Linked DNA regions of Caenorhabditis elegans. The protein of the gene in region 2 interacts with the protein of the main gene of each other region in a pairwise test. Each region holds a gene or a part of one and is shown on either strand. Other genes may lie near its edges.

Region 1 (4,848 bases), on a different chromosome or scaffold from region 2:
TTGATATCTTTGTTCCTTTTATTCTACCAAATCAGTCATTCTTTCTGAATTACCGATTCCTGATCGTGACTCATCAATTTTTATTCCATTTTCTTGCATTGTTTTTGATTTCTCAGACATTGGAGTTTTCATGTTACGAAACATAAAAACAGCCTCACGAGGTTTCTTTATCACCAATGAATGTGAGTACTTGTGTGGAAGCTGTTTTGGTTGAGAGTCATCTTCCCAGGGCAAGTTACTTGATTGTTTGGGGTTTGATTATGCTATTTTCATTAAAAAAAAATTAGATTCTCAGTTCTGACAATGTTTGGGAAATTTGACATTTATTATGAAGCCTCGTCAAAAAAAGTTTCAAAACCCAAATGGTTCAATCACATGACACTTTCTTATCACCAACTGGTCCTTGCACTTCTTCTACCAACTTCCCTCTATTCCCACTTTTCCGTTTTCCGTGTTCATGTCCCGGGGTCCGAGAGAGAAAGAAAGAACGCCTGTTTGATATCTGTGTCTCTCACTCTCTTCTTATCACTACTATCTTTAATTGTTTCGGGGTCCCCCCACTACTACCCTCCTCCTCTTCTTTCTTGTGTTCCTCATAAAGAAACGAACGAAAAATACGTTTTTTCTCTCTTCCTACTGTTTTTCAATTTTTTGATTATTTCCATGTTTCTGTAGCCTTTTCTTCTTTCCGGTTGGCCAAGAAACAATTATTAGCTTTTTTGTTAATGAAAAGAAATATCGATAAAACTGATAAGAAAACAATTGGTTTTGTTATCAGTTGTTTCTCTCAAACCAATCACTTACCCTTTTTCTCATTTTTCGAGAACCGTTTTTTTTCTGTCTTGGTAATTTTTATCAGATCCAATTCATTGAAACGAGAAGTAATAAAATTTAAAACTCAAAAAATTCATTTAGTTTCAAAAAATATAAAATGCTTTCGCTACAACTACAGTAACCTGCGAGGAACTTTTTAAAAGTTATTTTTATCAAAAACATGTTGTTAAAAATAATAAATTAAATTCAAATGATCGACTATGACTATGAAACAATTTAAAAATGTTGTTTTCTTTCAGAAATTTCATTTAAATTCTAAACTTTTTTTAGTAACTGAATTAATTTCAAATTGCTGGGCAAAATGATTACTGTAAAGCAACACAGTTTTGTTGGATTTTTTTTTATATAATTAAACTTTTTGGAATGATGATACATTTTGCAGAATTTTTTAATTGGTCCTAAATCGGTTTCACTTCGAAACATTTATTTTCCGCGGAATATTGTTTCAAAATCAGGATTTTTATTGTAGAAATTGCAAAAAAAAATTTTTCAATGAAAAAGACAAATTTTAGAAGTTTTAATTTACACAATTTCACACTCTCATCATCCTACTTCCCCAAAGTACATTACCAAAAATTTCAAGAAAAAAATGATACTAATATTTTCTGAATACTCTTTCACCTGGTCATTTAAGTTCCATATTTTCCCAGTTTCTCAATAAAATAGTAAAAGTGGCTCGTAAATCTTTCGTCAGTGAGAGTGAAACGGCTCGACTGGACACGGGGACACGGGACACCAATTGAACACTAAATTGCGGTCAGAAAGGGAGAAGAAATCTATAAACTGAGGAAAAGCATATCTCATAATGTGAACTACTCTATTTCAAAAAGTCTTAGCTGACCAATGACTCTTTTAAAATATTTCTATTGAAAATTCAAGTTTGTTTTCTCAACTTTTCAATATTTTCCCACATGTTTCTTTATTTTCTTCCTTTCCGTTTTAACACTCAAACAAAGTCAATAACAAAAATGTAAATTTCAGACCACATCCATGACAGGAAACTAGAATAAATATATAAAATGAACGACTGTAAGCGGTTTGAAGCAAATATTTTCAATAATGGAAAATGCAAGATTTGCTATAAATCCAAACAGAATCATTCATCAGAATCAATTGAAAATGCAAAGGTAATTTTTGTTTGATTTTTAGTTGATTTTTATTTGAAAAAATAACGTTTATGACTTTATAAATCAGTATGATTTGGCCTAAAATTCAGCTTCAATCAGGTGTTTAAATGAGTTTTTAAACATGAATTTCCAATATTTTTCAGTAAATTTTGTTCGAAAATAGCAACTATTTTTTAAAAGATTTATTCGAAAATACTTTTAATTCTAATTCAAAAATTTCCAATTTTTGGTAGTTCGAAACTTCCATGAAAATGCCAACACTTTTTTAACTTCAAAATTAAATTAATATAAATTCGTTAGTTTTTTAAAAATAATATTTTGATTCTAAATTTCACTTTAAAATATTAGAATATCAAACAGAGTACGGTATTCTACTAAACTACCAAAAATAATTGGCATCTTCCCAAACGCTGTGCCCCGAATTTCTGCGAATCTTAAAACTAATAATTAATTGTAAGAAAAGCTTTTTTTTCTGTTTTCCCGTCTCCATTTGCATTTTAATGTTGTAGAAAGACGAAGATTGAAAAAAGCACTACAGTTTTTTTACAAAATTCAATATTTTGGTGTTTACATAAGGTATAGTTTATTGATATGAAATGAAATCAGTAGTATTTGAAAAAGAGTATACTGAAAAAGACATGTTCTTCTTTCTGTGTCTCTCAATTTCTAATACTATTTATCATTTACTTTTTTATTGATAACAAGTCCATTTTGCAATCGGAAATGATATAAAAATGCATAGTTGATTATTTTTTGGAATGCTTTTCTCTTCATTTTAAGGTTTTTTGAAGTATCTGATTTGAAAAAGAGCATTATTTATTTAATTCTAAACTTTTGAGTTTAATTATTTATTTGATCAGTTCTCAACTTTTTTGATTGCATTTTCCATTTCTAAGGGTACACAATTTTCAGTTTGACACTTCAAAAGTTCCAACAAAATATTAGAATAAATTATAATTGAACACTCCAAAATTTTTTAGCTTTTTAAAATTTTTTTTTAAATTTTTAGCAAATTGAAAGTTTTAGAAATTTCCAAAAATTGAAAAAAAAAACTTTAAGGTTCGCACGTTTGAACTTGAATAATATTTTAATCCGAACAATGGAAACAAAATTAAAATATTTGCAAAAAAACCTTTTCCGGTTGACTTTCGAAATGCTGATAGGCGGAAGCTGTAAATAAACTAATTTTGGGCTTTTTTAGCACCACAGAGGTGATTTGAATCATCTTCCCCATTGCCGCTTCTCCACCTTTGAAGCTTTGATTGTTTTGGAATAAAATTTTCAGCCAATACCTCTAAGCTGGTAATAGATACCTGAACATATAGTCTTAGTTTCACCAATCGGTTCCACTTTCATTCTTTTTTGTGTCTCATTTCGTTTCGCATCAGTTATTTTTCTGCAATCACACTTCGGCCCATTTCTTTTTCTTATCCAATCCCAATACATTTTGTTTTTTCATTGGAAGACGTTCGTCTCTCTTCTGAGCAATTATCCTTTCTATCTCTAAACTCTCTTACTATTTCAATAGTATTCCATTTCATAAAAGTGCGCACTTTTGGGTCGTCCAGAGACATTCAACCAGAAAGCATTGATTCTTCCCTTCTTTTTCCTTCCTCTTGTTTATTTATTCAGCAGTGACACTATCCTTCACTATTCCTCTTCCATTTCATCCATCCTTGCATTTTTCTTATTTTTTTGGTAGTTTTTCTCTACAGTGACCCTATTAATTGGCTCAAGTTTTATTTCTAATACCGACACACACGATTTTTGCTTCAAACAATTATGGGACAAAAAGATGAATTCCACTTGACATTTTGTGAATGCCAAAAAATATTCCGAGATATTTTTTGTGTCATTTAGTAAAAGTCACTATTTTTAGCTGGTCTAAGTGAGCACTGAGTTTTGATTTTTTTCAAATATTATAACATCATCAATGTTTTTTAACTGAACCTGAGGCTCTGATTTTTTAGGGAATAAAAAATTGAGTGTATAAGTTTTGGATTCAAAATGACGCATTTAATAAATAAGTTCGTAAGTTAATTTTAGAATTTCTGGAAATAAACTTCTACGTAATTGAAAGATATGTATGCCTACCACAGAATTGATAGTTCCCTGTTAATTTTCTATTTTCTATAAACATTTATCTAAAAGTACCATAAAAATCGCAATCTTATAAACTTGAGCAATTTCGTTTTTTCCTGAAAAACATAAACACGAAATTCTAGACAGATTGCCTAATGCACCATTGGCCATCCTCCAATTTATAAATTTTAATCCAATCTTCTATCATCTTCCACTTATTATTATTATTATGCCCACCACTTCCAATCATGCTTCTTCTCTGACCATCATCTCCTTCTTCTTATCATTTGATTGCGCATCATTTTATCTGTTTATACCCGACTTGGCTTGTATCCAAGTTTTGAACACCCACTCACACATTAAAGTATCTTCATTCGTCTCGATATATCGTGTTCGTGTTCACTTTCTACATTCATTCAATGACCTGCTTTCTACCTTCCATTCATCCTTGTTTTCAACATCTTACCACTCACTCTTTTTCTCATTTTCTCTTATTTTCTCATGCTCTATCGTTCATCTAGATGGATGTAGGTAATGACTGGGAGAAAGAGAGTAGAATCCATCCTCCAATTAGTTCCTTTTCTGCTTCTAGAATTGTTTTTTGTTGTTTCTAGGTCTAACTTGCACCCATGACATTTGGATTTTCAAAACTTGGATTTTGAAAAAAAACTTTTACTTAAAGGCGCACGGATTTTTTCAGATGGATAGAAGAAAGTATTTTCAATAATATCATTATACATAGTTTTTGTAAAGGAAGAGCTTTTTTGAAGACGAAACAAATGTTTTCAATTCTTCAATTCTTTTA
Region 2 (4,031 bases):
CATTTTCTACAGCTCGGAATCCAACTGGTGGTTGCTCGTGGCACTGGTGATGCTCACAATTTTTGCGTACCGCTCTTCTATGGAACAACACACTTGCTATTACGATTGATGATTATGATTATAAAGATCTTTTTATTTGTAAATTATTTGTTTTAATACGAATTCGAAAAGTCTGCCATATGATAGAAAGTCCTATTCAAACTTCGCGCGTAAATGGTTCTCAATAAAGCGCGGTTGCACTACTCTTTTTTTGTCGCTCTTCGTCAACTTCTGGTAGCGTGAGCCCTTCAAATATCATCATTCAAATGCCCATTTTATCGATTTTATTGAATTTTAGTTATTTTAAATCCAATGATTATTCTCAAAATGAATTTCATAATCATCGGCTGGTGTTTTTGAAGGTTTCTAGTGTGTCCAAACGAAATTTATAGTCCTAAAATATTAACATTCAGTAATTCATAATTGCTTAAGAATTAAAAATTACCTTCTTTGTTCCTTGATATCAAGTATATAGTTTTAATATTAATTCAATATCTTTCAGGTAAGCTAAATCTACAAAATGTCATTTTTCCATTTCATCAATTGCTTCGCGTTGGCATTTGCACCATATTTTATTGTCTACAAATACTCAGGTAATATTTTTTATGGGAAGTCAATGAAACACCACTATTTTTATAGGAATTAACGAATACAGTTCCATCTGGAAATGTGCAACTGCTAGTGGTGGATATTTGCTGACACAACTCGCCAAACTGCTTATCATTGCCACATTTTTCCCAGCCCTCGACAGTGAAGGATTCAGTATTGTGCCGGTATGTAATTAATTTTTCTATTCAAAATTGGAGCTATAAATAACGTTTCAATGAAAATCATTTTAATTCAAGTTTTAAGTGAAATTTACCATAAACCCATCCTCGCCGGACATAATCCTTCGGACACTTCAAACTTATTGATTTTGGTTTTCATTGCCAATCTCAGAATCATTGCAGGAATTCCTAAAAAGCAGTGCTGACATCATCGATGTCATTGGGCTTCACCTTCTGATGACCAACTTCTTAGCCGGAAAAGGAGAAGTTCGATTCGTTGTCGGTGGTCTTGGCTGGGGATTCGCTCATTCTGTTGCTCATCGTCTTGTTCTTTTATGGGTTGGAGCTCGTGGAACCGCTTTCACATGGCGTTGGGTTCAGGTGATCAAATCTTCCTTTTTTCTGAAAAAAAGATAATATTATATTTTCAGACATCTCTTGATTCCTCAGCTGATCTATTGGTTATTGTGTCTCTCGCCTGCCTTACATGGATGATCACCCGCACTCCAAACAAGTTCTTGGTGTCACCGATCCTTGCGATGTGTGTCTTCTCAACATTCGTTTATCAGTAAGTATTGGTTTTACTAGTCAAAAAATGTAAATTTTTTTTTATTTCAGAACCGTTCAACACACATTCTCTCTCTACGGATGGTCTCTCTTGGCATTCCGCTTTGCCTACTCCATCGCAACAGCAATTCTCACCGTCGTTGTCTATTCGGCAAACCGGACAGCGTCCACAAGAAAGAACGAGTAGCAACACATATTCTGCTATAATTCACTTTTTGTCAGTTTCAATACTATCTTAGATTCTTTCAGAATTTATATATTTATTCGAAATTTTCTTCTCTCCTTGTTCATGTTTATACAAGTACCCAAAAATATTTATTGTTTAATTTAATAACTGCTTCAAAAATTGTCGTCCTTATATTTACTCTACAATTTTTATCTCTTTTTATTAAAGGTTAAATACCTTTATTACTTTGGCAAGTATTCGCTGTTCACTGTCCAAATAATGTATTCCTCTCCAATTCTAGATGTCAGAAATAGATCCACTTGCCGAGTTCTTGCTTCCAGAAGACGGAGATCGAAATGCTCGTCAAAATGATCCATTGATAAGCGGAGGTCCACTTCCATTGGAATCGCCAAGCAGAAAACTCACGTAATACTTTCTAAACTTGAAACAATTGTGCTACTCAAGATGCTTCCAGATCCCTGTTATCCTATGATCCGACAGTTCCGGAGTCACCGGATATGAAATTCGCCAGAAAACGTCTGGGAAATCTGCTGACAACCATAAAACATCACCCATCGGAAATAATTGGAGTACTCCCAGAAGATTATACGTAAGTGATAAAATGGAAAATTTCAATTCTTGTTTAATTTTCGGCAGAGTATACCATGCCTGGGGCGAAAAATCATTTTTTTTTTGGTTTTGATTTTGTATCAAAAAGCAAAAATATGTAAAAAAGCCAAAAAAAAATTGGAGATTGAATTTTAAACCTTAATATTTGAGAAAAAGAATTAAAAACTATGCAGAGCCACATTTAGTTTGAAAGAAAAGTAAAATAAATTTTGTACACAGAAAACGTTTACAGTAAATACAGCATTTTTTTTCAGTTTTTTGGTTCCAGATAAATAGTTAATTTTTGTCAAATGTCGCGTCCTGGAATATACATAACAGAAAAAAATTTAGACAATGTGGACCTTTTTGTTTTTCGTAATATAAATTTTAGACATAATTGAAAAATTAGAGTTTCCATTGCATTTTTTATAATTTCAGTCGTGCTGATGAAGAGCCCGGGCGCCAAGGACGTCCACCAGGTCGCCCTCGTAAGATGCCGCGTCACGAATCTTCAACTTCACTTATGGAATCACCACGCAAGACTATGACTCGTGATTCTAAAATTATGTTTGAATTGCGTGGAAAACCATTCGAAATGATAGCTGGACGTTTTGAAGAAGAATATTCACTTGGTAGAGCATGGGTTAAAGGACACATGAATAATGAATATGAACCAATAAAAGCTCAAAGGACAGACTATGCACCGAATCTGGCTGTTGTGAGTGGGAAAGATTAAATGAAAAATGTTATAATTATTTCCTTCAGGATTATCTTGCATGTCGCGAGATTCATCGAATGCCACGTCCAGATAAATCAATTCCTGAGCTGCCAATTGTTCCATCTAGAATCGATGAATTCGACGCTACAGTCGATCCAAGATATGAAACAGATTTGAAAAATGAATACATTCGTCATTGGAAACAAGTCAAAAAAGGGTAACACTTCTTCTGCCATTGAAAATTTCCGTAAAAATTTATTTCTTAAAGTATTACGGTAACTGTGCTCTATGTTAGAATTTCATTTGTCGAATTTTGTATCAAACTATAAAATAAAAAATATTGTACTAGCAATCTGTGATCACTACTATTTCTTCAAAGTCAGAGAATCCAAAAAAAAAAATTTCAGTTGGTGTGCTCATCAACGTCGTCGGACTGCTCCCCATGCAAGAAGCATAGCATTAATCAACAAAATCTACCAGCCTGGAGAGTCGAAAACTGTCGAGCAAGCACTTGGTCTTATTTAAATATTCTAACATGTAATTTCAATTTATCTCTTACTTTCTGATCTTGCTATCACATGTCTCTTATTTCAAAAATCTCACTTTAAAATTCATATAAATAATGGGTTTATTCAAATACATCATCTTGACAATTGTTTTTTCAACGTTTTTCTTCCACTTTTTGGAGATTTTCCTGAAGTTTTCTCGAGCTCGTCAGCTACTTTTTCTTGTTGAATCTTGTTAATATATTTTGCAACTTCTCGTTCGGCAGTTTTCATCAAAGCTTCTATAGCGAATACAGTCTGAAATAGAAATATTTTGAGAATATTCAGATTTTTGAATTTTCACTTGAAATCCACTAAAAATCACAATCATTGTGTAGAAAACGTATTCAAGTGGGAGATTCAGAAAAGAGCCATTCACTGCCAAGAATACTGTAAGAGGAATTTGAATAATAATTGTAGTTATTAAGAATCCAAAAAGAGCTGACATCTGTAAACACTAGTGTCGATTTTCTGACTTGACTCATTCAAAACTTACATTTTCTGCCAAATTTCCATAAAATCCAAGTCCTAGCCGTACTCCTTCACTTCCCAAATGAACTAAACACGCAGAAAATGCAATTACTTGATACGTTAATGACAGCAGACTATGCTGAAATTCA

The links. The genes of interacting proteins can lie anywhere in the genome.
Region 1: the proteins of lin-37 (region 2) and F10G8.8 interact in a two-hybrid assay, tested with the Caenorhabditis elegans proteins (3 studies listed by BioGRID).

What each region holds. Positions count from the first base shown.
Region 1 is NC_003279.8:10,058,994-10,063,841, reverse strand, and holds the start of F10G8.8 (PH domain-containing protein), read left to right. Parts: upstream 1-1,815; 5' UTR 1,816-1,853; coding exon 1,854-1,961; intron 1,962-4,848.
Region 2 is NC_003281.10:7,070,362-7,074,392, reverse strand, and holds lin-37 (uncharacterized protein), read left to right. Parts: upstream 1-1,840; coding exon 1,841-1,965; intron 1,966-2,014; coding exon 2,015-2,149; intron 2,150-2,586; coding exon 2,587-2,866; intron 2,867-2,913; coding exon 2,914-3,083; intron 3,084-3,273; coding exon 3,274-3,391; 3' UTR 3,392-3,503; downstream 3,504-4,031. Other genes in the region: ZK418.13 (Pollen-specific leucine-rich repeat extensin-like protein 1), read left to right, coding at 1-109; ZK418.5 (BOS complex subunit TMEM147), read left to right, coding at 560-632, 679-812, 990-1,187, 1,238-1,374, 1,425-1,560; tmem-17 (transmembrane 17 domain-containing protein), read right to left, coding at 3,508-3,669, 3,737-3,859, 3,908-4,021.